Coturnix japonica: one gene and its partners. The protein of the gene in region 5 purifies or fractionates together with the protein of the main gene of each other region. This does not show direct contact. Links are inferred from orthologs where the notes say so. Each region holds a gene or a part of one and is shown on either strand. Other genes may lie near its edges.

Region 1 (3,360 bases), on a different chromosome or scaffold from region 5:
TTTACAGCAGGCCAAGATCAGATTTGGTGAAAGAAAAGGCTTCTCAGTGAAGGATCCCTTTGCTTCTCAATTCACTTAGCTGTGCTGTCCCTAGAACAATGTGACAGATAGGTCACCCTCTGTTCATCAAAGCTTTATCTGTCTGTTTAGGGACCTTACGATGTCGTTGTCCTGCCTGGAGGTAACCTTGGAGCTCAGAACTTGTCAGAGGTAAAGTCCTGGGATCAAGCTGTCAAGCTGTTTTTCTTTGTAAATCTTGTTCATGAATTTGCAGTAGAAAATGCCTCAACTGTGCTTCAACCCAAATAATCAACTCAAAGCAACGGCTTCTTTTTATCTTTTACAGTCTGCTGCTGTTAAAGACATTTTGAAGGATCAGGAAAGCAGGAAAGGCCTGATTGCTGCAATATGTGCAGGTGGGTTAGTAACAAGTTTTCCTTTGATAAATACTTGGGTGTTTGAAAGGACAGGCAGGCGGGTATCCTGCCTTAGAAATTTATATTCTTGTAACTTAGTTACAGAAATTTGCTCTACAAACCCATCAGCATTTGGATTTTCTAGTCATTTGGGTTAGTGTCTTAAAAAGTGACAACTAATTTGCTGGGTGTAGTGGAAATGCTGTAGTGGCCTGAAGCAATGATGGAGCACATGGTGGGAAGGCAGAGCCAACCCAGGGGAGCTCAGGTGCAGGCAATGTACTGGGTGATTGGATTGGGTGGAGTCAGGATCCAGCCCTCATTTAAGGGTTCCCAGTGGAGGTGGGGGTATCTCTCTGGAGTTCCCTGTGTACCTGAGGTCTTCTTGGTTTCTGTGAGTACAGTTGCCACCTCTGAGTAAATCCTCACTTGCTGCAGTCTGGGACTTTGTTACTCTGCTGTCATTGCTGACCTTTTTGTTGTGTTACAGCATTACATTTGGTTTTTAGTTTAGGGATTTTTGGTTTGTTTTTTTTTTAGTATCTGGTTATTTTCTCTGTGAGGACGCTGTGCTGGCTGAACATCGTTACTATAAATTTGTCTCATGACTCCTCTTCTGCCCTTTAGATTCAGCAGGGTGGCTGAAAATATAGTGTTACAGGCTCACCTTCAAAGGAGTGGTACTAAAATATGGAGTTACTCTACAGTGAGGGTTGTCTGCTTACATGTTCTGCACAGCTAGATATCTAGTTCAGTTCTTTATGTGGTTTGTATTTAAAGAAAAAACAAGATGAATAAATGCCGATATTCCCAGCTGAACAGAGAGAGTGGTCTATGTAGGGGAGAATGAGGAGAGTGATGATAACTGTGTAGGAGATGCTCTAACGGTGTGTGTTTGCAGCATGTGTTTGTGTTTTGTCTGGTGTGTGGCTGCTTTTTATTTTGTTTTCGTTCTTCAGTTGAGCAATACACATGAATTTGTGAGCAGTCCTAAGTGTGGCTCTGGTGGTCTTTTCCTTCTTTACCCGTATGTTGCAGAACAATTCATTTATTTTATGTGTAGTGCTTTTCAGAACTTTTCCAGCTGAACACGAGGGAAGTTATTTCCTTGTTGCTTCATTTTCTGAAATGAATCAGATACGCAGAAATGACACTTGAATCAGCCAAATCCTGCATTCAGTTTCTTCTGGAATTCCCATAAGGATTTTTTTCTTGGGTGATCTAAGACAACTTTACACAAGTTTCTTCCTCAATTCAGGCAAGGGAGGAAGTGATGGAAAGAGAAAGAGAATGTAAAAACTGGAAGGTTAGCTGTTAACCCATAGCTGTCCAAAATGCTGCTTGGTGCACAATTCCAGCACATAAAGGCCTTTTCAAATGAAATTTTATCAGATAATCCTTACCAAGGCTGTGAGATTTGAGCCCCTGGATGCGTGTTCTTATGTTTGTAGCAGATAAGTTTCTCACTGATGTGTGTGTGTCCTTACAGGCCCTACTGCCCTCCTGGCACATGGGATAGGATTTGGAAGCAAAGTCACAACACATCCTTTGGCCAAAGATAAAATGATGAATGGAGGTATGTAATTAATGTTATAGCTTTATTTCTAAACTCGGAAAGTATTTTGTCCTAACTCTTCATTTAAAGAAAAGTAAATAACGTTTGCATCTCATTCTGTATCTCAGAGTTTCCTTAGTGCTTTCATATGCATAATCAAAATTCAACAGCTTGCAGATAGGTGCACTTATATGCCATGTGAACAAGCTGGCAGAACTCCCTGTAGGGCCTTTTCCTCTCTGAGGACTGTAGGCAGCGATGAGTTGCTTGGTTCTGCAGGGACAGGGATACAGAGCCCAGAGTGAGCTTGGCTCATGTGAGTCATTGAGGTGTGTACTCAAGAATGCGATGCTGTTGGTGGAGCTTGCTGCCCCTCAGTTGCCGTAGCCTGTGAGCAGGCAGGTCTGTGCTCTGTGTCACTGGAATGGAGACTGACCCTCTTATTGTTGTGTCACCCCTAAGCTCACTACTCCTACTCCGAGAGCCGTGTGGAGAAAGATGGGAACATCCTCACCAGCCGTGGCCCTGGTACGAGCTTTGAGTTTGGGTTGGCCATTGTTGAAGTACTGATGGGGAAGGAGGTGGCTGAACAAGTGAAGGCACCCTTAATATTGAAGGACTGAAATGCTGTTGTGGGACATGGAGTAGAACAATTTCAGGTGGTGAGTCTTGTCCTTTGTAGAATAACTGAGATGCACAATGTAGTTGTGGATGAAATTAACAGCTGTGCTCACCTAAATTAGGACATCTCACCAGTGTTTATTCCTGGAAGAAAACTCTGTTAGCAAAGACCTTCACTATCATTAGCAACTAAATAATCTTAGATCCTGGCATTTCAAAATCGCGTGGACAAATGTTTGCTGATTAAATAAAAATGAAACAACCTTGATTGTTTGTTGCTTCTTTGTGCGTTTTTTCCCCAGTCCCGAGCAGGGGCTGCAGTGAGTAACTTGCTTATCACTAGTGTCTGGCTCACACTTCTCTGTGCAGTGTGATAATCCGACTCAGTGTGGCACAGACTGGTGTGCCCTTCTCTGGAACTGGGAATTTCCCTGGTCTTAAGGCATTAAGGCTGTTTGCTGTGTAGGTTTGGTTGTGCCTTTTGTTTTCTGGAAGGACGCTCAGTAGTGCTGGTTTTTCTCTTCAGCTTGTTGTGAGATTAAGAAACTACATCGATCATTTCTTTTTTGTTTTTAGGGGGTTCAGACCTGATGGTTGTAAGCGTAATGTTTTGTGCATTGATGGCTTCAAAGTGTTTTGTCCTGGTGGCTCTTTGTGTATCTGAATTCAGGGTGGGATTGTTTGGCATCTTTCTTTTTTCCTCTGATGTTTTTCCTCTGTGCAATATATTTGCACTCTTTTTCCTTTGCAGCTTTAAGGTGCTGACAT
Region 2 (4,096 bases), on a different chromosome or scaffold from region 5:
TCTCAGGGAGATTAAATTCCTGGAAGTTGCTTCACAACATATGAGTAAGAGAAATAAGCCTGTGTTTCACATACTTACACATGAAAAAGCTATCTGCTGTCCTTGTCAATTATCAGAAGGTCCACACAGAGAAGAAAATGCAAAACTGTTTTAATTACATGATTGTGCACAAAGCAGCTTGTTTAAAGGGTGACATCAAGAAATAAACGTACTTACTACAGCAGGCCTGCTGTTACAGCATATAGCTCCCTACCAACTTCAGTTTGTCACCACTTGCTCAAAGAGCTTACTGATCTCTCAGTTGTGCTAAGGAAATACATGAAAGAATCCAGATTTCCTAAATATGCCCCCAAAACACGACCAGCAATGGACACCATGAGCAGCTCCAGCAGCACAACAGTGAAGATGGTCAGAGAGGGGAAGGGCTAAGAGCACATCAAGAAGCTGGAAGCCTGTGCCAGAGCTTGGACTGCATGTACAGTACAGCCTCTGGGAAAGCCTGACGAGACCACTTCTACACCAAGCTGCTTGCTGCAGGGACTCATGAGTGTTAGGTGCCTATTTGGTATCCCATAATAAGGAGTTTATTTTTACCTAAAATATGATAAGATTAAGTACCATTTTGCCATGATTGAACAGCTTCCATCCAGATTTGCAACCAGTGGCAAGGACTCATCCTGCTGTGAAAAACAATTCTGCAATAAGTCACAAAAAGAGTGAGGCTTTTTGCAGGGAAGCAACCTTGACATCACAAGAGCATCCTCTCCATACCTCATTTCTTCTGTTTCTTGTATCCAGAGCGTGTGTCTCCACAGCTGCCTCCTGAAAGAATGTTGGTGGCGCTGCAGAGGCACCACAGGAGCAGTGTGCAGCTGAGAGCATCCTGCTGCTGTCCTGTGTCACCTGAGCAAGGGCACTAGCATGCACGGCTCTCGTTAATCATCTAATTAGCAGTGCCTTCAAGTCAGAATGCCTCCCCACTGGAATTTTCAGCTTCCAGGCACATGCCTTGCCCTCCAAACACCTCACGCCTTCCAAGATTTACAGTGGGACCTGTCAGAATTGTAGGGGCCAGAAGGGACCCCTAGAGATCATTAAACCCCCTTCAAAGCAGGGCCCCTAAAGAAAGGCTGCACAGGTTGGCGTCTAGGGGTGTTTGTAAGCATCTCCAGAGGAGAATCCACAACCTCTCCGGGTTTGCACACTTCCATTCCGCAGAAAGCACTTCTAACAGGTTCTGCTAAGGCCGAAACTGCTTTCTGACAACACTTCGCTGTGATGGAATCCTCTGCACAAACCCCTTCTCGCTCTCCACACCGCACAGACCCGTCCCGGCCGTCGCCGCCCTGAGGTGCGGGTCTCCCCGCCGTGGGGCGGTACGGAGGGCGGTGCGCCGCGGTCCCGTGATGGCGGAGGCGGAGCGGCGGGCTCACTCGGCGGGGCCTCTGCCGGCCGCATTGCTATGGTCAGAGCCATGGGAGTAGCTGGGTTGCTCCTAGGGCTGCTCCTCGTCCCCGCCGTGCTGCTGGGCGCCAGCTTCGGCCGCGGAGAGCCGCCCCCCGACCTGCAGCCGGAGCCGTCCGAATGGGGGACGGGATCGGACGCCGTCTCCGAGGACTCGCTGTGGCCGCTGCCGCAGTCGCTCCGCACGTCCCATCTCCGGCTGCAGTTGGCCCCCGAGCGCTTCCAGGTGGTGCACGGCGCCGGCTCCTCAGCGGGACCGGGCTGCGGAATCCTGCAGGACGCCTTCCGCAGGTGAGGGCAGGCGGCGGGGCGGCAGGGGCTTCACAGGGGCGGCAGGGGCTTCATAGGGGCTTCATAGGGGCTGCAGGGGCGGCGGGCTCCGGGGAGCAGCTCAGTCTCCCTGAGCTGTGCTCTCCCCGCAGGTATTACGAGTACATCTTCGGGCGCTCCCACTGGAGGAAGCCGCACCGAGAGTCGCCGTCTGCACAAGGGGAACTGTCGCAGTTGCAGGTGGTGATCGCCTCCCCGGAGCCCGGCTGTAACAGCTTCCCGCACCTCGCGTCCAACGAGGCCTGTGAGTACCGCGGTGTCGTGCTCAGCCTTAACGGCCAGCGCAGAAGTCAGACGGTGATTTATTTTTTCCTCCTTGGAAATAATAGGCTCACGGAGGCTTGTGAGGACACAGCAGCTCATACCTAATCGTGCTGTTGTGTAATTGAGAGCGCGCCAAGTCATGACATTAGTCAGTGGCATCATGTGTGATCTCCTCAACATGTAGTGCTGGGTGAAGGAGCAGCTGAGTGCGAGTTGTAAAAACGCTTTCATTTTGCCAACAGATACAAGGCAGGATTAACAACGTGATGGTTACATTGGATTTGTCCTGCTCTGATTCTCCACAGCTGACATCCAGATTGGACAAACACTCTTAAAATGAACTCCTAACCACTAGTTCTTTAGTTTCTTATCACAGTTATCATGGGAAGCAGCAAAGTCACTAATGCTTCAGCACTTATGGTTAGCTTATTACATTGCCTTACTACTAGCTGAACTTCGGACAGCCATGTGAACTTCAGTTCTTAATGAAAGCTGATTCTTCTTTTCTGTAAGGAAATCATTCACTTGCTGCATTGAGCAGTTTATTGTTGTTCTTTTCTAAACAGAAATGGTATGGTTTAGTCAGTGGCTGTCTCATAGTGTGAGGGCGGGCACATGAGAATCTAATGAGGTTTAACAAGGCCAAGTGCAAGGTGTTGCACTTGGGTTGAGGCATTCCCGAATATGAGTACAGGCTGTAAGAAGAACTCATTGAGAGCAGCCCTGTGAAGAAAGACCAATGGGGCCTAGTGGGTGAAAAGCAGTGTGTGCTTGAAGCCCAGAAAGCCATTGATATCCTGGGATGCATCAAAAGAGGGATGGCCAGCAGGGAGAGGAAGGGGATTGGCCCCCAGTCCAGGAAGGATGCGGAGCTGCTGGAGCAGGTCCAGAGGAGCACCATGAAGATAATCAGAGTAATGGAGCACCAGAGTAATGGAGAAAAAAATCAAAAAGGGAATCTTGAATATCTTAGTGCCTGATAATGTCTTGGCAATCCTTGCCTTCTCTAGGAATAACTCTTCTTCCCTCTTTTTAGATCATTTAACTGTAAGTGAGCCTGTGGCTATACTGAAAGCAGATGAAGTATGGGGAGCTTTAAGAGGTAAGCTGATGCTTTCCGTACAGAGCTGTTTTTGTTCTAAGCTTATACAGACTGCATGGCAGAGTTAAGAACCAGCTGACTGCTGAGGCATGCCCTCATTCAGGCATGTGGGGGCCTAAGGTACCAAAATGTGCACTGCACACTCCTTCAGTCTGTGTGCTCAGTATCCCAGATCCAGTGGCACACCATAACTGCCTGATTGCTGTATGTGAAATCAGCCAGGCCAACCAGATCCCGAGTGCTAAAAAAATCTCTCTGATCTGTAGTGTCAATAAGTTGTTCTGTGACTGCACTAATAACAACATGCAGGTCACCATCACCAAGAGAACCATGATGCTGAAGTCTCAGTCTGCATTTCTTACTGGAATGTTATCTAAATTAGCAAATTTTTAATGCTGAATTGGAAAATTCACCTGCTCCAGAAACGGCAGGAATATGTGTATGATAATAACAGACATTCCTACCTCACTCTCTGTTGTTATCATTCTGTCAAAGATTAATTTGGTGCTTCTGAGCCACGATAATAATTTCCAGTGCTTGTATATAATGGAGAGTTTGATCTGTTCTCTTTTTGGTACTTTGTTAACTTTCTTGCTTGAGCAACAAAGGCAAATGTGATAACAAGAAACTCAATAATAAGGCATTCTTTCTTGCTATCTGCATTCCCGTAAATAATTTGGGTCTTGTTTTTAACTAAAATTTTAAGGAATATCAGTGTGGTGTATTCTGGATTTCTTTCTTTGATTTTCCCAGGTTTGGAAACCTTCAGTCAGTTGGTTCACGAAGATGATTATGGAAGTGTAAGTATAGTTGTTAGCTGAAAACACGGTCTGATAACAGACAGCCACATTCTTTATTCCTCAAGGAACAGTAGATAAACAGGTTTCATTAATTACTTATTCAGAAAATAATGTTTGGAAAGCTGTTAACAAACTG
Region 3 (4,225 bases), on a different chromosome or scaffold from region 5:
CATTTCAGAGCTGGCTGCAAGCTCAGCATTACGCCTTGAGTGTTTCCACTTTGCTGCTGGTAGGAGATGAAAGGATACAAAGCTGTAATTTGGCCCGATAATAAATAAGCGCTAATGTAACTGTTCCCTTTGGAAGGAGTTAATTATCTACCACGCCGTTAGGGGCAGTAACTCGAGCCAACACGCGGTCGCCCCCTTGCCGTCCTTAGTGCCTAAAGGAAGGCAGGCGCCCCTCACAGGGAGCAGCGGCCCGTCCTCCTTTGTGCCCACGGGATCGATGTGAACATGGCCACGCAGCTCTACCCACGTGCAAGTAACGGGACTCCACGCACACTATCGTCGCCTATCGCCACGTTTTAAGGCACGCCCGCAATAGCAGCCCGTCCCGCCGTTACCTTGGGCCCCATGGTGACGGCTACGGCATCTGCCAGCAGATCCACCCCCTGCAGCATCAGGGCCCGCGCGTCCGCCCCGAACTTCACATCCTTGGCGTAGGCCCGAGTCAGGTGCGGGGCGAGCGCTCGGGATACCGGCCTGATCTGGCGGAGTACGGCGGGCAAACGGAGCATGTCTGGGGGGTAAAACCCGATGTTAAAGCCATACAGATTTAAAGCAGCACATGGTCCGCCCGCAGGCCGCGCTCGGAGCCACATGCCCACCCGTCCCCACAGCAGGACGCGCCGCAAGGTCAGAGCCCGCCGCCCCCTGCCGGCCACAATGCAGCCGGCCGCAACACAACGGGGCTGTGAGGAGCCATAGCAGGGCTGCACACATATACACACACACACACACACACACACACCGGACCAGGCGTGCAATGGGAGCAAGGCCGCCCAAGTCAGCACGCGGCGCTCCCTCAGCACCACCACATCGCTGTGAGGAGCGGCCCGCCCCAGCACAGCACGGCTCAGCACAGCTCCGCACGGCACAGCACAGCTCAGCTCGGCTCCCCACTGACCTGCGTTGTGCCGGCGGCGCGTCCCGTAGCGCTGTGTGTGCGTTCTCAGCTCTCCGCTCCGCACGGCGCTCAGGGCGGCGCGCACTCACACACTCACACACTCCCTCACATGGCCCCGCCCCCGCCGGGCACACACTCATGCGGCCGAGCCCCGCAACCTGCATAGCGTCTGGGTCCGCCCATAGAGGAAAAAAGGATCTAGGCGTACGGCGCGCTCTGCGCATGTGCAGGAGGCTCCGAGCATGAATCACCCATGTTCCGGGGCTCGCCAATTCCAGAACCTTCTGGAATGCCCATGCTCGCCCCGGGTCAGAGGGCGGCTGACTTCACTTCCGGGTGGCAGCACCACCCCGGTCCCGGCCCGGCCCCGAACCGAACCGCCACAGCACCGAGACACACAGCGACACACCGGGACACACAGCGACACACCGGGACACACAGCGACACACCGGGACACACACCGGGACACACACCGACACCGGGACGGCGGATAACGGAGCCGCGGCACCGGGCGGCACGGCTGGGGGCGGGGCGGGGCCAGGAGCCAGGGTCGGCGGCTGCGCATGCGCACGGGGTGACCTTCCTCACGTGTGCTTGGAGCGGCGCGGTCACTCGGAGCGGAGCGGGACGGAGCCGCCATGGTGAGTGAGTGTGTGAGTGAGTGTGTGAGTGAGTGTATGTGTGTGTGTGTGCATGTGCCCCCACAGCCGGCACCGCGATTGACCACACGCTCGGCCGCGGCCCCGTGTTCCCGGCCCTGCGCTCCTGCGTGGGGCTGTGCCCGCTGCTGCGCCCCGCCCGTCCGCAGGGCAGTAGGCCGCACTATGGGGGTGTCGGCAGCTTGGTGCTGCTGGAGGGTAATTGATGGTGATTGATGGTGATTGATGCGGCCGGTGGGGCTGTGGGGGGATGGAGGCAGGCAGGGATAGAGCGGGTGAGCCCTTCGTTGCAGTCCTGCCTTAGCGCCCTATGGACGCTCGGTTAGACCGGCCCGGAGCTGGGAGTGGGTTTGCAAGGTCACCGAGTCCTTGGGGGCTGCGTTGGGGGCCGCAGGAGCGGGAGGGAAAACGGAGCTGCTGGTGCTGTGCTCTGTAAGCTGCTCCCATCCAGGGCTTCTCTGCAGGAGCCCTAAGGGCACAGCTGTCCTTGTACCTGCGTCAGTGTATCGTTATTAAGATCCTTATAAAATTAGGAAACGTAAAGTGGCCAGCGCTGGAAAGGACCACGATGATCATCTCGTTGGTGAGAGCAGGCAGAAGGACACAGTGTTACCTGAAGCTTAGGCACAAAGTGGCAGCATTCTGCGTTCTGATTGCAGTTGAACAGAACGTTTGGTTTCAGGGAATCTAAAGAGAAAGAGATCAGCACTGGTATTTTCTTAGAATGAACATCATCCCGGTTCACAGTCATTTCCATGTCTTGCATCATTCCAGTAATAGCAGTTTAGCTGGGGATGCATCTCTCACACGTTGCCTACAGCTTCGTTTCCCCCTAGTTTTAAAGCTCCAGTGCTGATCAGTGTCAGTGGAGGGTGCCCAGCTGCCAGGCTGCTTCTAGCCATTTCAGTGAGCCCAGGGTACCTGCCTTGCATCACACTGTCTCCATGTGGCTTGGCAAGGCTCCATAGCTTTCCTCCTAAACCACAGCAAATTCCTTTTCCTGCCCCTGCTTAGCAGGGTGCTGTGCTTGCCTTCATCTCCTGTGTGGGAGCTGGAGTGCTGCTTCCATTCCAACTAACAGCAGTCTTCATTTGGACTTCAGACTTGATTAATTCTCTTACATCACCTGAAATGCCATGCCTTTAAACTGCCCAAAAAAGACAGGCACCAGCTACAGGCCTAGACTGACAGTTTGTTACTATAAAATACTCTGCTACGGTGAATGAAAACGCAGCTGCCCTCAGTCTTGACTGAGTTCTGTCTTTGTGATCACCGAGCTGTTCTCAGTGAGCCGCTGTTCTCAGTGAGCCGTACTAAGTAACGGTTTAGGATTAGCCACATGTGGCTCCTGCTCCACCTGCTGGAGGCTCATTCCCTCAGCTGGAGCGAGGAGCCTTAAGGGCACAGAGTGCCCAGTGTGAGCAGCTTGGGAGTGAGCTGCTTCTGAAGAGCTTGAAGCAGTCATAGCACAGCTCTGCAATGCAATCACAGGTGGTATAATTCGCTTCTATGGAAAAGAAGTGCTCAACTTTCTTCTTGTTCTCTGACACCCACTTAGTTGTGGGTTTTCTTGCTTTAGATGCGCTTTTGTTCATCTGTTTTTCCTTTAACGTTGTGCCCCTTCACAGGCAGGAAAAGCATTTAGGAAGTTCCTTCCCCTGTTTGATCGCGTTCTGGTTGAACGATGCGCAGCAGAGACTGTAACCAAAGGAGGCATCATGATTCCAGAAAAAGCTCAAGGGAAAGTGCTGCAAGCAACAGTGGTAGCAGTTGGATCTGGAGCCAGAGGGAAGGTAAGAGTCTGATTGAAGCATCAGCTTGAGCAGCTGGAAAGTGGTAGCAGGAAAGGGATGGCTGCAGAGTACGTTGAATCATATAGCACAAAAACTGAGAGGGGTGATTGAAGGTGGAAGTGCAGGTTCAAAGAAGAGGTAGAAGGTTTCAGTTCCCCTGCCTGGCTCTGGCCTTGAATTCCAGTCTTCCTTTGAACATCTGCAAAATGGAAAATGCTTGCTTTTTGAAACCAGCTATTGATAAGCATCCTTAAACAGTGAATGGTTACGTGCTTTTCTTTGTTGTTCTGCACGTGGCGTTCGCTGTCTTGTCCAAAAAATCATTGCCCATAAGAGTTGGGCTTAATGTACAACAAAAAATCAGGACTTGGTAGAAATAAATGCCAGTTGAGCTTGCTTAAGCTTTGACTGTTGAAGATCCTGAAGGAGACCTTTTAATGTCTTTTCACCTTCTTAAAATGCCCGTGGTTAGTGGCTTTGCTACTGGAGGATCTTTCCCCCATCTAAATAGTGGTCAGTTAGTCTCAATGGCAGAAAGCAGGTTAACGTTTAACTTGAGTGTGTTGACTCAGACTTTGCCTGTGAGTCTCTCCAAAGATATCGTGGGGTTTCTTTTTGTCTCTGTGTCTGCTTTTCAAAGCAGGATATTGCAAAGTGGTTCTATTATTTGACTTGTTTGCAGTATGGAGCAATTGTGCCATTACCTTTCCATTGAACTGGAGTAAAATGAAGGGTGTTTATTTTCTTCCTTTCAGGATGGTGAGATTCATCCAGTGAGTGTCAAAGTTGGTGAAAAGGTTTTGCTACCAGAATAC
Region 4 (4,140 bases), on a different chromosome or scaffold from region 5:
AGTTCGGTGATCTTTGCTCAGTAATAAGATAAGGTTAATTTTAGGCCTGTTGGAGCCTACGCACACAAGAAGAAAATAAAACAATATATTTTGAAGTAGGATATCTATTGGATATGTGTATATGTATATACATACGTGTATATTGGATATGTGGATATGTATTGGATATCTATGTGGCAGTCACACCAGCTAACCTTTACCTAGTGCCGTCTAAAATGAACTCTGCACTTTGCTACTGTCAGGATTGGCTCCATTTCTTCCTTCTTCCTGGTAAATAACCTATTCCAAATTTAGTATCTCTTCTGTGGTGTCTTTTTTCTTGTTTGTAACAATTAGAACAGCAACCAAAAAAAGATTACAACAATTAATTAATTAAACAATTAATTAATGGAAGAATGTTTTACCTCCCCGGGTCAGTTTCAGGTGCTACTGACCAGCTGGCATTTGCCCAACGAGCATGGCTATGTTACAAACACACTATGTTTCAGTAACATAGTGTTACTGAAACAAGTCTTGAGAACAAGGGCACATGTTCTCTTAAATAGTATGCACCAGAGGTGTCTTCCAATAGGAAACAGCAACATAATATCCATGGTATAACTGTTTATATTTGAAATGTGGTTTTTACCTTTTCAAGCAATGTAATACAGCTTCTGAAACAAACTAGCACTGACTGCAGAGCAGAAATCCTTGCAGAATGCAGAGCACAGACACGCATTTCTTGAGAACAGAATTCATTCTTTTTGTTTTCCGTGGTTTTAAACTTCTTTTTGCACAGATTATGACTTCTAACACTTCCAGAGCTTTCTAGAACACACATGTAATATTTAATGTACCCAGCTAAGGCTGCAGCTTTAATTATTTCAGCCTCCTCCTGTTCAGAAGCACTAAAGACAATGTATTTTCTGATTCATAGCTGGTGAAGTCAGTATTTTAAGCTGAAGTCTGTATTTCTCGAATGAAGAATGTTGTGCTCTTTGAGCGTGTATTACAGAACTGTGAATTCTTTCTTGAAAAGAAATGGCATACAGCAGTTCTGCTACAGTTCTTCCTGGCTGCAGATCACACTTGATGCAGTGATATTCTTTTATAAGCGAGGACAGCCTTGGAATAACTTTGTCTAACAGGCTTTGAGCGATGGAAAAGCTTGAGCTGATCCCTCCGAGCGCTGAGGGGCGGCTTCCACACGCACGGCCTACCATGCTCAGATGTGAAGAGCCGCAGTTTCCTGCCTTCTAGCACATGGGAGCGAGAAATGGCTCACGCTGAGCCTGCCCACAGCCGACAGAACCCTCCTCCCTCCGGCAGGAAGCGATGTACCGGCCTAAGGAGGCGGGGCGGCCCGGCCTTCTCTTTCTCCCCGCCCTCACCGCACCCCTCTCTCTCCGCACGGTCCCGTTGAGCGCCGCCGTCCCTGCCCGGTTTTAGCAGCCGCTGCCTCGCGAGTCTCGCCGCCTTTATTTCGTCTCCATGGAGGATTACCACAAACCCGACCAGCAGACCCTGCAGGCCCTGAAGGATACGGCCAACCGGCTGCGCATAGGCTCCATCAAGGCCACGACCGCGGCCGGCTCGGGGTGAGTGGGGCTGGAAACTGCCTCCAGGGAGCAGCTCCTTTCTTTTATCAGTTCCTCCGGGTCGGTGGGAGGGTTAATGCGGTGTAGGGAGAGGGTGAGGATGGTACAGCGCGGAGGACCCCGGCGTGCCCCGGTGCCGGAGCGGTGCGGCGTGGAGATGCTCTGGCTGGAAATGGCGGCCGTAGCGCGGTGTGGGGATCCTGCGGCTCACGGCACAGATCAGCACCGCCCGGGGTTGGAGGCTGAGGGACACTGTAGTACTGTAGAGTACTGTGTGCAGGTGTGGAGCAATCAGTACTAAAAAGACATGGAGATTTTGGAAAGGGTCCAGAGGAGGGACACGAAGATGATCAGGGGGCTGGAGCACCTCCCCTATGAGGACAGGCTGAGGGAGCTGGGTTTGTTCAGCTTAGAAAAGAGAAGGTTGCGGGGTGACCTCATTGCAGCCTTTCAGTACCTGAAGGGAACTTACTCCCAAGAGGGGAGTAAACTCTTTGAATGGGCTGATAATAGCAGGACTAGGGGAAATGGTTTGAAGTTAAAAGAGGGAAGAATTTAGGTTGGATGTTAGGGGGAAGTTCTTTACTAGGAGAGTGGTTTGGCCCTGGAACAGGCTGCCCAGGGAGGTTGTGGATGCCCCGTCCTTGGAGGTGTTCAAGACCAGGTTGGACGGGGCCCTGGGCAACCTGATGTAGTAAAGGTGTATGTTTGGTGGCCCTGCCAGGCAGGGGGGTTGGAACTACATGATCCTTGAGGTCCCTTCCAACCCGGGTCATTCTGTGATTCTGTGTGATTCTGTGACACGTCGGTCCCCGATCCCGGAGGGTGTTGTGACTGTGGGCAGTGGCCGGGAATGCCGAGTTGATGCAGGGCTGAAACCCAAAGAATTCATGCCCGAGGCGCAGAGCGGTTTCTTTTTCATTTCGTGCCCGTCAGTTGGAACTAATTCTCCACAGAATTTCAAGTGAGCCCAAGTGGGATTATCTGTGCAATGCCCGCAGTCTCCAACTGGTGGTTTATTCAGGCCTCTGGACAGGATTTAGTCGAAGCTCTGATGTCTGCAGATTCCACGGTTATCCTTCCTTTGATCGTGCTTTACCTATGGAAAGAAAAAATCTCTGTAAACAATCCACTCTTACTCATGTAATATTAAAGCCATTTTTTATTTTTTTCTGCTTGAATAATACATTTGAGCGCTTCCACGTAGAACGCAGCCTTTTATATCCCATCCTGTGGCAATTTCCTCCCTTTTGGGGCCTCTTTGTAACCGGCAGTAGGTGATTTTATTGCTGTTTTATTGGTTTTTACTTATTTATTTTTCAGCTGAAGGAATCCTTTGGGCGCTGAGGTTTGAGCGGAGAAAGGCGGTCTGTATAAAAACCATTTCCAAGCTTTCTCTTGGAACCGCCTTACACCTCCCGCCCGGCTATGGCCTCACGTGGTTTCTCAGCACACACATAGAAACTGAACTTTACTCGCGCCTTCTGCATGCAGCAAGCAAAAACCTTGCTCTGGTTCTGCCCATAGAACCCCCTGGGGCACGGCAGCCACTGCTGCAGTAGGACTGTGCTGAGCAAAGCTTGGTCAGTCCAGGGTGCTTAATGCAGCTGAGGCTTCAGTCTTGCTGCTCTGCTCTGTGTTGTAGGCCAGCCATGGAGCTGTGCAGCACTGGTTGTCTGCAAGTCAACCCATCTCTGCTTTGTGCCAGTCATGAGCAGAGATCTTGCTACAGCCTCTTTTCAGAGCACAAAATCCAAGCATTTAGTACTAACACTGTTTTCCCCATACTGATGAAGAAATAGCATAAATAGCTTTAGTTTAGCTTTTTATTCGTGTGTACTGTGCTACTGAGCACTTCTTTACAGAGGTATTTCATTCATTCATTAGTAGAGCTTCTTCTAACACTATGTAAAGTCTCACGGAGCCTGAAATTATTACACAACCTGATAATTGGTAGATTATGAAAGATGTGCTCTGGGGGGAGGATTGTGCTGTCAAGTCATATATTTTCTTTAACGTTGGATTTTGTTAGCAAGAGGGTAGTGGTGTCGTAATGTGTCTAAAAGGAAAAGAAATTAAGAATCTGATGCAATATCAGATGAGGAATTTCTAAAACAAACGTTAGGGGGATGTGTTTTCTCAAAGTGTGAATGAGGCACTAAGCTTTACTTAAAGCACCAGTACAGTGTAAGAAGGCAGGGTAAATGTTTGAATGAAAGTTAAATTTAAACAGGCTTACAGTTTAAAATAAAAACAAAACCAGTAAAAAAACCCAACCGCTTGCATTGACTTTGCCAAGGAAGCCAGTATTTGTTAAAGGTGTCGTTTGTAAAAGTGAAGGAAGTGCTTGCAATAAAAGCACTTCAAACAAACCAGAACCTGCCTGCTTCTTTCAAGGAAGTGATTTCTTTAACTGTGGCATGTGTTGCAAGTGGTTCAGTGGCTGGTCTGACATGCTGGTTCTTGTGTTCTTTACTTGTACCTTCAAGAAAATACAGCCTTTGTTTGGACAAGGGCTAAAAGATCAAATGATCCGGTCCTTATGATGCTCAAATAGGTAATT
Region 5 (4,034 bases):
AACTGGGTCTGTTTAGCCTTGAGAAAAGAAGGCTGAGAGGGGACTTGATCCAGGCTTATAAATACCTGAGGTGTGGGAGCCATAGTAGTGAGGCTGGTCTCTTTTCAGTAGTGCGTGGGGACAGGACTAGGGGTAATGGTATGAAAGTACAGCATAGGAAGTTCTGCACGAATGTGCAGAAGAACTTCTTTACAGTGAGGGTGACAGAGCACTGGAACAGGCTGCCCAGGGAGGTGGTGGAGTCTCCTTCTCTCGAGATATTCAAGACCTGCCTGGATGCCTACCTGTGTGACATGGTGTAGGGAGCCTGCTTTGGCAGGAGGTTGGACTCGGTGATCTCTAGAGCTCCCTTCCAACCCCTACAATTCTGTGATTCTGTGTGAAACAAAACAGCAGCAGTGAACTAAGGGAGAAAAGTAGTTAACTAAATATGATAATGAATGTGAGATAATATAGTATATATAATAATATTTGCTTTCAGTTCTCACTGCTCTAGTCTGTTATCAGTAGACCACAAATAACACAACTCTCCCCACACCAAGCGTGCTTTGCCTGAGTCTAACGGGCAGGCTTTGCCCCCATCCTTATCTCAACCCACAAGCCTTCTTTCATCATGACTACCCCCACTCCTGAGCTATTCACACAATCATACAATGACCTGGGTTGAAAAGGACCACAGTGATCATGTAGTTTCAACCCTGCTGATGTGTGTAGGGTTGCCAACCACCAGCCCAGGCTGCCCAGAGCCACATCCAGCCTGGCCTTGAATGCCTGCAGGGATGGGGCACCCACAGCCTCCTTGGGCAACCTGTTCCAGTGCGTCACCAACCTCTGTGTGAAAAACTTCCTCCTCATATCTAACTTAAACCTTCCCTGTCTCAGTTTAAAACCATCCCCCTTGTCCTATCACTATCCACTCATAAACATCCATTCCCCCTCCTGTTTATACGCTCCCTTCAAGTACTGAAGGTCACACTGAGCTCTCCCCACCACAGTCCGTTCATCCACCCAACGCAGGGTCTGAGGGACCTGAGGTAAGTAACAGAGATAACGGCCATAGCACAGACCGCACAGCGCCACAATGATGGAGAACGGCGGTTACACAACCAGCCCGACCGTTGGAGGTGTCCCGCTTTCCCATTGGCCCATGAGACCGCACCGCTGATTGGCTCTCCCTCCGCACCGCCCACTTTCCCTCTTGATTGACAGCACCTCGCGCTGTAACTGCGCGAGAAGACCAGAGAACGCGCTGTGATTGGCCCGCGGCGCTGACGGACTCGGTATATAAACCCCGCGGGAGCATCGATCCCGTTAGCCCTCGGGTAGTTGTAGGCGGGGTTGTTGGTGCGCGCCCTCTCGTGCTGCTGAGGGAACATGGCGACGCTGAAGGCCGTATGCGTGATGAAGGGGGACGGGCCCGTGGAGGGGGTCATCCACTTCCAGCAGCAGGCAAGGCCCGGCAGCGGGGGGGGATCTGATCGTACTCTGACCGGCAGCGGTGCTGAGTCATCGTGCGACCGCGGGTCGGTGCGGGATGGGGGCGGGGCCGGTCATGGTGCCTGTGGGGGAGGGAGAGCAGCGGGTTGGGGTTGGTTTGAGTTAAGGAAAGGGGCTGCACCACAGGGCGGTGGGTATGGGGCGGGATGCACGGGGCTGTGGGCACGGCCCCAGTGCTGGAGATCAGGGAGAGTCTGGACAACGCTCTCAGGCATACGTTGTGATGTTCAGGGCTCGCTTCCAGCTCAGGTTATTCTGCACTGGTAGCTGGTTTTTGTTATTGACCTGGAAGCTTTGCTTGTAATGAGGCTCTGTGATGCTTTAGTGGTGTCAGTAGTAATCAGCTCTTTGTGTTACAGGGTAGCGGACCGGTAAAGGTTACTGGCAAAATTACTGGCTTGTCTGATGGAGATCACGGCTTCCATGTGCATGAGTTTGGGGACAACACAAATGGTAAGGTGCCTGGCCAAGCTGCTGAGTTACAGCTACAAGGAGCTGCTTCTAGTGGCACAGCAGCAACCATCTTCAGCATGCGTATGTTTTATGACTGCACATTTGAAACCATGATTCCTAAGGCACATTTGAAGCACATTTGAAACCATGATTCCGGTGGTGCAGTGGTAGAAGTGCCGCTCTGCTACACAGGAGGCTCGAATCCCGGGGGTTGGACTTGATAATCTCTAAGGTCCCTTCCAACCTGCATGAGACTGTGATACTGTGAACTGATTCTTACAACATTCTTTGAACGCATTTAGGCTACTCTTCAAGGTCTGGTATGTCAAGCACTGGCCTAAGTACTTCTTCTGACCTAGTTTTTAACCTGGTGTTAAGAAATGGAGAAACTTTCATCTGGCAGAGATTATTCTGGAATGAGTCACGTGGATTTGTTGAACTTGGAGTAATGTTTGTGTGTTTATAGATCCAGCTGGAGAGTAGCTGTTTCATCATTAATGATTTTAACTTCCTCTCACTGTAGGAGAACTAAGTTCACATGCAGTATAAGCAATGCCTTTATCTGCTTATTGTGATGAATCTACTTTTGGTGGTTGTTCTTTTTCAGGGTGTACCAGTGCAGGTGCTCACTTCAATCCTGAAGGCAAGCAGCACGGTGGACCAAAAGATGCAGATAGGTGAGTGTCATGGGCATGACCTAATACTGTGCAGTGCAGTAGTTGTGTAAGTTCAGCTTGAGAGGCTGATGTGTGACTAATTGCTAGGATAGTGCTAGAGGAAAACTAGCAGTTCCAGCAGGACTTCTGAGGGCAGTTAGGAAGGTACTTGGTGATCATACAGCAGTGCTTTAGATACCCTGGCTCTAAGAGTGTGTGCAAAATGCAGTCTTTGGCGCTCTGGTCTTATCATAGCCTGGGGTGAAGGGGAAATAATAAGGGCTGTTAGTGAATGTTCATTAGGAGATAAGTGAGAAGGGGAAGGAAGGTCATGTACTAATACCTCTCGTGGTGCCTTGCTTCTCTTTTGGAGCTAGCTATTGACAGCAGTGGCCCTATAAATGTCTTGTGTTGAGCTGTGTGTAGGCTTGTCATGTGGTCTGTGAGGATCCTCACTAGGGCTTTGGGGAGGCTGCAAGATGGGCACAACACTGAGTGCCTGGCACAGTGGATGTTCATTTGGTGTGCTGGGTTTTTCTTAACACCTTACCGTAGGTACCATGCTGCCTATGGGATGTATTCTGTAGGGGTTGTGTGCTGGCTGTAAGTACTGGTCTGTTGGCACTGAATGCCTCTGCCCTTGCTTCATAGCCCTCTGTCAGAGGAAGCTGAGACTGAATTCTTACTGGGAAGCAGTTAAATAGCCCAGTTACCTTTGGGGGACCTTTAGTGTCTGAGGGGTTTGTGTGGTGTCTGAGACCACTGAGCAGTTGTTTCAGTAGTATGCTTCTGGGTTCTGAGACTGGGAAGGTGCTGTTGTCATGCTGGTCTTTAGATCTTGTGCAAGTCTTAAAGGTGACTTGATCATTCGGAGGTAGGTTCTGAACAATCACTGTGGTTAATCTGGCCGTGTTGGTCATGGTTTTAGGTACTTTGCCTGTACCTGCAGCTTCTGTTATTGATCAGTTACTTGTCAGATGAAGTAAGTCGAGTGGTAGGTGTCTGGATGAAAGCAGTGTGCAGTGGTAGCTGAAGGGCTTCACAGGCAGCCGGGTGCTCTAATGCTAAAGGTCAGTTACGCGAGCAGCGTGCTTCTATTGATTCTCTGTCAGATCCTGCTGCTGATGTAACCTGCCTGCTCAAGCAGCTGTAGGCTGGGGACTCTGTGTGAAGGTTTAAGAACTAGGCCGTGCTTCTGTAAGGCTGGAGCTGAAACCAGTACTAAAATCTCCTAGAAGCTTAAATAAGCACCCAAAGGGGAAACCGCCCTTGTCCTTATTCTCTAGGACTGAGTTAAAAATACAGAGTCAGCACTATCTTCTCAGGAAGCAGGTGGTTGGCAGGTAGCTGGAAGGGCTGCTCACCCTGTGAGCATGGACGGGTCTAGGGACAAGCTGGTGTTTGAGGCTCCATCAGCTTCAAATGGGT
Region 6 (4,280 bases), about 25 Mb from region 5:
GTATCAGTGGCAGCAGCTCCCACAGAGCTGAAGGGGAGCGGGGAGGAAAAGGAGAAGGGTGGCAATGTAGGGGCCTAAACCCTTCAGCATGGGGATTAGTTGGAAGCTGATAAGAGTGAGGCCAAGGAGGTGCTGTCAAATGAAAGACAGGAAGGACTGTGCTTCTTTCTCCCATATTCTGATCTTTGGTCTCATTGAGAAACCAAGTTCCAATCCATTTGCAGAACTCTAATGCCAATGCAGTTTTGCCCCTGGTCTCTATAGGGAGGTGGAATTCCTGCCACTACCCATGCAGCATACCTGAGCCAAACGAGCTTGGAAGAGAAAAGGCTCAGTGGAAGTTGTCATCTCGTGTTTCATTGCACATTTGGCCTCAAGTCACTCGCACTTGACTGGGACCCACGTTTAAGTTATTACCTAGGAGAGCTTCCATCAGATCTCTGAGTTCTCTAGAGGGCTGTGCACTGATCTGTGGCACCTTTATCTGATACCTCTTCTCTCTTCCTCACAAGAATATCAGCTGTTTGCCTTCATCAGCCACATGGGCACTTCGACTATGTGTGGTCACTATGTTTGTCACATCAAGAAAGATGGCAGGTAAGAGGGGATTTGACATAAGCGGTCTCTGAAGTACGGCTTTAAGCCACTGTTCTGCCCTATTTCTTCATGTGGTGGCGAACAGAGAGAAGCGAGCTGGCAAAGAGGCTCACGTAGCATCTTTGCCGTACAAAAGGGGGAAGCTGAGGAACGCTGTTGTGTGTTGCAGGTGGGTGATCTACAACGACCAGAAGGTCTGTGCTTCTGAGAAGCCCCCCAAGGACCTGGGCTACATCTACTTCTATCAGCGGATCCCCAGCTAGAACAGCCTCTCGCTGTGTGTGGAGGGGGGGAAAGCGGGCCCGAGGCAAGGAAGGGGAGGGTGGGGGCGGTCAGAGCAGGGCCCGCCTCCCCTGCTCCTCATACCCGCTCTTCCCTTCCCGTCCTCGCAGTGGGACGCTCAGGGGAGCCGTGTTCCACGCCGGGCTGCGGCCGGAGCCCCTGAGGTTGGCAGCGAAGGGGGTTGTGAGGGTGGGAACGTCCCTTCGCTCCCTGCAGCCGCTGCTCGGCTCTGCCGCTGGGGGGGACGCCGGCTGCCGGTGTCCCGCAGGGGCAGGTTGTGCATGTGGCTCGGGCCGTGCTTTCTGCCTGCCCTCCCGGGGAGGGGGCAGCACGGGAAGCGGCGCGGGCCGTGAGCGGTGCCCCCTCCCTGCGTGCCCTTCACATGCCAAAATACACGAGGGACAAAATAAAAGTCAAAATACGGCCTTGTCGGTGTGTTCTGTGCAGCTGCGGCCCCGGCAGCCCCAACTCGGGCACTGCTACGAGCTTCAGGACGGAGAAGGGAGGTGACGTGCCTCTGAGAACGGCCGCAGCCATCCCCAAACGGAGGCTGCCAGGGCCCCGGGGGTGGGAGGGAGGAGCTACCGGGGGTGGGAGGAGCTACCGGGGGGCTGGGCCTCGCGCAGTGCCGGGCTATAAAACCGGCCTCCGCGGGCTCCGTGCTGTTGCCGACCTTCCCCCCGTGCTGGTGACCGTGTGCCCCCTTCGGCCCCGCCATGGCTCCTAGGAAGTTCTTCGTGGGCGGCAACTGGAAGATGAACGGCGACAAGAAGAGCCTGGGCGAGCTCATCCACACGCTGAACGGCGCCAAGCTCTCGGCCGACACCGGTGAGGGAGGGAAGGAGGGAAGCAGGGCGGCAGGGCGCGGCCGCACGTAGCGCACGTCCCGCGCGGCGGGGCCCGGCCGGGGCACGGGAAATGTCAGGGGGCGGCCGGGGCCGAAACCGAACCCCGCGGCGGGGCTAAAAATACCGCGACACCGGATCCCGGCCGCTGAAGGGCACGGCGTCCAGCCCCCTACTGCCGGATGCGGGCGGCCTCCGTCCGCCGGCGCCGCGGGGATCTGCGGGCCCGGCCCCGCGCGGATCCTGCGCTGGGCGGTGAGGGGCCTCTGCGCGGCATCGTCCCCCACGGCCTCGGCCTGCAGCCCCTTCTCTGTGCCCGGGGTCGGGGCCATGATGTGGGGGCTGAGGGCACCGTGCTACTGGAGCGGGTTCCCGGAGCGTGCCTGGCCTTCCGAGCTGCCATACCCGCTGTAATCCACGTGTAACCCGACGCTGCCCTTTTCTCCCCGGTTCAGCCTCCTCGGTTCATTCCTGCCCGGTTTCTCGGCTGGGATCTTTCCAAGGGATTCTGCGAGGCCTGGCTTTCTGCCCGACCCCCCCCCACCCCCCCTCTCTTTCTGACCCCTGGAATGAGTTTCCCCTCTGCTGTCGAGTCATCAGATAGTAGGGAGGATGTTCCGACTTGGTGTGGTCCCCAAATGTCAGCGAGGGCAAGCTGAGCCTCCACCAAATGAGGGGCATGAGAAGGGGGAGGGGTGGCCTCTCAGGGCTGGGCTATGGGGCCAAAGGTTGTGTGCAGTTTGTTTCCCTTGTCCTTCCTATGGGTGACTTTTGTGCCTTACAGAGGTGGTTTGCGGAGCCCCTTCAATCTACCTTGATTTTGCCCGCCAGAAGCTTGATGCAAAGATCGGACTTGCAGCACAGAACTGTTACAAGGTACCAAAGGGTGCTTTCACAGGAGAGATCAGGTGAGCCCAAAATGAAGATTAAAGCCAGCACTGCTTTGCAAAGTGAGTTTCATCAGGTGATGCGAGTCAATACCTTCATCTGCTTTCTCATCAGCCCAGCAATGATCAAAGATATTGGAGCTACATGGGTGATCCTGGGCCACTCAGAGCGGAGGCATGTTTTTGGAGAGTCTGATGAGGTGAGAGCCTGGAGCGGAGAGGTGGTACCCAACAGATAATGCTGTGAAGGCTGGAGTGAGCAGTTGGAGGGAAAGGTGGGTGATACAGGAGCAGGTCTGACTGCCGCTTACCTTGTTTCCATCCCCAGTTGATTGGGCAGAAGGTGGCTCATGCTCTTGCTGAGGGCCTTGGTGTCATCGCCTGCATTGGAGAGAAGCTGGATGAGAGAGAAGCTGGCATAACGGAGAAGGTGGTCTTTGAACAGACCAAAGCCATTGCTGGTAAGGGAAGATAATTGACTCTTATTATTATTATGGACAGCTGGGAAGTAGCCATTTTGGCCATAACTGTCTGTTCCTGGCCTTCAGATACATAGCTACATTATTAACAAACAGTGGTCAGGTTATTAAAAGGTCTGCCTGTTCCAGGAAGCTTTTTTTCCAGATCGGCCCTTCCCAACATGAGGTACTGCACTCATGTCTACTTTCTTCTTTCCTCTCAGATAACGTGAAGGACTGGAGTAAGGTGGTTCTTGCCTATGAGCCAGTTTGGGCTATTGGAACTGGTAAAACTGCTACTCCCCAACAGGTAACAGCAAGGGCAAGGTGACTGATGAAATGAATGTGTGACCCCACTCGAGGTCTCCCTGGAGATGGAACAAGGTTCCTTCTTTGGAAGGGAGCTGTATGCAGGATGGTTCAGACTCCGGTTCCTATTTCATTTCAGGCTCAGGAAGTTCATGAGAAGCTGAGAGGCTGGCTCAAAAGCCATGTGTCTGATGCTGTTGCTCAGTCAACTAGGATCATTTATGGAGGTAAATGAGTCTAGGCCCTTTGAGGCTGCACTTACTTTGCTCACTGCTGTCGTACAGCATGCTCTGCTCTGCTGATGAGGAAACATGAGACTTAACATGAGCATGAAGAACCACTTACTAGCTTGGGAGACAGTCTTACCGTTTACAGAATAAGAGGTGGCTGGTACCTTGCAGGTTTTACCTCCTGCGTTATTGCCATTTTGGATTTGCTATGTCTGAACTCTTAATCCTGTTCCCTCTTCAGGTTCAGTCACCGGTGGCAACTGTAAGGAATTGGCCTCTCAGCACGATGTGGATGGCTTTCTTGTTGGTGGGGCTTCTCTCAAGCCAGAGTTTGTGGATATTATCAATGCAAAACATTAAAGCAGCCTGTGAGGAGCAGTCCCTTACGGTTAACAGCAAGAAACTGAAGCAAGAAGGGACCTTTTGTTGCACGTCTCTTGGTACAGAGGCTTCTTCTGAGGCTTTCCCCCACCACCACAATTATTGTTGTAGCTGTGCTGCTAACCCCCACCACCTTGTTGGAGTCCCATTAGTGTGAACCCATCTTCCTTTCTGAACTGGCAAAATCCTCGGTTATCTGGCGAGCTGTTAGAGCCCACAGTCAACCTGGCTCTTGCCTCTCTCTCTCTTTGCAGACCTGCAGGGAGGGAGGGCCACTAGTACTGGGGGGAG

What was found.
Region 1: the proteins of SOD1 (region 5) and PARK7 purify together in Homo sapiens (affinity purification with mass spectrometry; 4 studies listed by BioGRID and IntAct, with this or other methods). This does not show direct contact. The link is inferred for Coturnix japonica from reciprocal best matches to the Homo sapiens genes SOD1 and PARK7.
Region 2: the proteins of SOD1 (region 5) and HEXB purify together in Homo sapiens (affinity purification with mass spectrometry; 3 studies listed by BioGRID and IntAct, with this or other methods). This does not show direct contact. The link is inferred for Coturnix japonica from reciprocal best matches to the Homo sapiens genes SOD1 and HEXB.
Region 3: the proteins of SOD1 (region 5) and HSPE1 purify together in Homo sapiens (affinity purification with mass spectrometry; 3 studies listed by BioGRID, with this or other methods). This does not show direct contact. The link is inferred for Coturnix japonica from reciprocal best matches to the Homo sapiens genes SOD1 and HSPE1.
Region 4: the proteins of SOD1 (region 5) and TKT purify together in Homo sapiens (affinity purification with mass spectrometry; 3 studies listed by BioGRID, with this or other methods). This does not show direct contact. The link is inferred for Coturnix japonica from reciprocal best matches to the Homo sapiens genes SOD1 and TKT.
Region 6: the proteins of SOD1 (region 5) and TPI1 purify together in Homo sapiens (affinity purification with mass spectrometry; 3 studies listed by BioGRID, with this or other methods). This does not show direct contact. The link is inferred for Coturnix japonica from reciprocal best matches to the Homo sapiens genes SOD1 and TPI1.

The regions. Positions count from the first base shown.
Region 1 is NC_029536.1:196,701-200,060, reverse strand, and holds the end of PARK7 (protein/nucleic acid deglycase DJ-1), read left to right. Parts: intron 1-150; coding exon 151-210; intron 211-346; coding exon 347-416; intron 417-1,905; coding exon 1,906-1,992; intron 1,993-2,433; coding exon 2,434-2,594; 3' UTR 2,595-2,860; downstream 2,861-3,360. UniProt on the Homo sapiens protein: Multifunctional protein with controversial molecular function which plays an important role in cell protection against oxidative stress and cell death acting as oxidative stress sensor and redox-sensitive chaperone and protease.
Region 2 is NC_029547.1:22,141,720-22,145,815, reverse strand, and holds the start of HEXB (beta-hexosaminidase subunit beta), read left to right. Parts: upstream 1-1,296; 5' UTR 1,297-1,462; coding exon 1,463-1,755; intron 1,756-1,886; coding exon 1,887-2,038; intron 2,039-3,094; coding exon 3,095-3,160; intron 3,161-3,913; coding exon 3,914-3,960; intron 3,961-4,096. UniProt on the Homo sapiens protein: Hydrolyzes the non-reducing end N-acetyl-D-hexosamine and/or sulfated N-acetyl-D-hexosamine of glycoconjugates, such as the oligosaccharide moieties from proteins and neutral glycolipids, or from certain mucopolysaccharides.
Region 3 is NC_029522.1:4,972-9,196, reverse strand, and holds the start of HSPE1 (10 kDa heat shock protein, mitochondrial), read left to right. Parts: upstream 1-1,425; 5' UTR 1,426-1,596; coding exon 1,597-1,599; intron 1,600-3,245; coding exon 3,246-3,410; intron 3,411-4,165; coding exon 4,166-4,225. Other genes in the region: HSPD1 (60 kDa heat shock protein, mitochondrial), read right to left, coding at 396-569. UniProt on the Homo sapiens protein: Co-chaperonin implicated in mitochondrial protein import and macromolecular assembly. Together with Hsp60, facilitates the correct folding of imported proteins.
Region 4 is NC_029527.1:4,946,905-4,951,044, reverse strand, and holds the start of TKT (transketolase), read left to right. Parts: upstream 1-1,340; 5' UTR 1,341-1,470; coding exon 1,471-1,577; intron 1,578-4,140. UniProt on the Homo sapiens protein: Catalyzes the transfer of a two-carbon ketol group from a ketose donor to an aldose acceptor, via a covalent intermediate with the cofactor thiamine pyrophosphate.
Region 5 is NC_029516.1:94,144,695-94,148,728, forward strand, and holds the start of SOD1 (superoxide dismutase [Cu-Zn]), read left to right. Parts: upstream 1-1,234; 5' UTR 1,235-1,374; coding exon 1,375-1,449; intron 1,450-1,856; coding exon 1,857-1,950; intron 1,951-2,557; coding exon 2,558-2,627; intron 2,628-4,034. UniProt on the Homo sapiens protein: Destroys radicals which are normally produced within the cells and which are toxic to biological systems.
Region 6 is NC_029516.1:69,555,449-69,559,728, forward strand, and holds the start of TPI1 (triosephosphate isomerase), read left to right. Parts: upstream 1-1,480; 5' UTR 1,481-1,595; coding exon 1,596-1,707; intron 1,708-2,508; coding exon 2,509-2,632; intron 2,633-2,726; coding exon 2,727-2,811; intron 2,812-2,939; coding exon 2,940-3,072; intron 3,073-3,293; coding exon 3,294-3,379; intron 3,380-3,517; coding exon 3,518-3,605; intron 3,606-3,849; coding exon 3,850-3,968; 3' UTR 3,969-4,280. Other genes in the region: USP5 (ubiquitin carboxyl-terminal hydrolase 5), read left to right, coding at 513-597, 767-860. UniProt on the Homo sapiens protein: Triosephosphate isomerase is an extremely efficient metabolic enzyme that catalyzes the interconversion between dihydroxyacetone phosphate (DHAP) and D-glyceraldehyde-3-phosphate (G3P) in glycolysis and gluconeogenesis.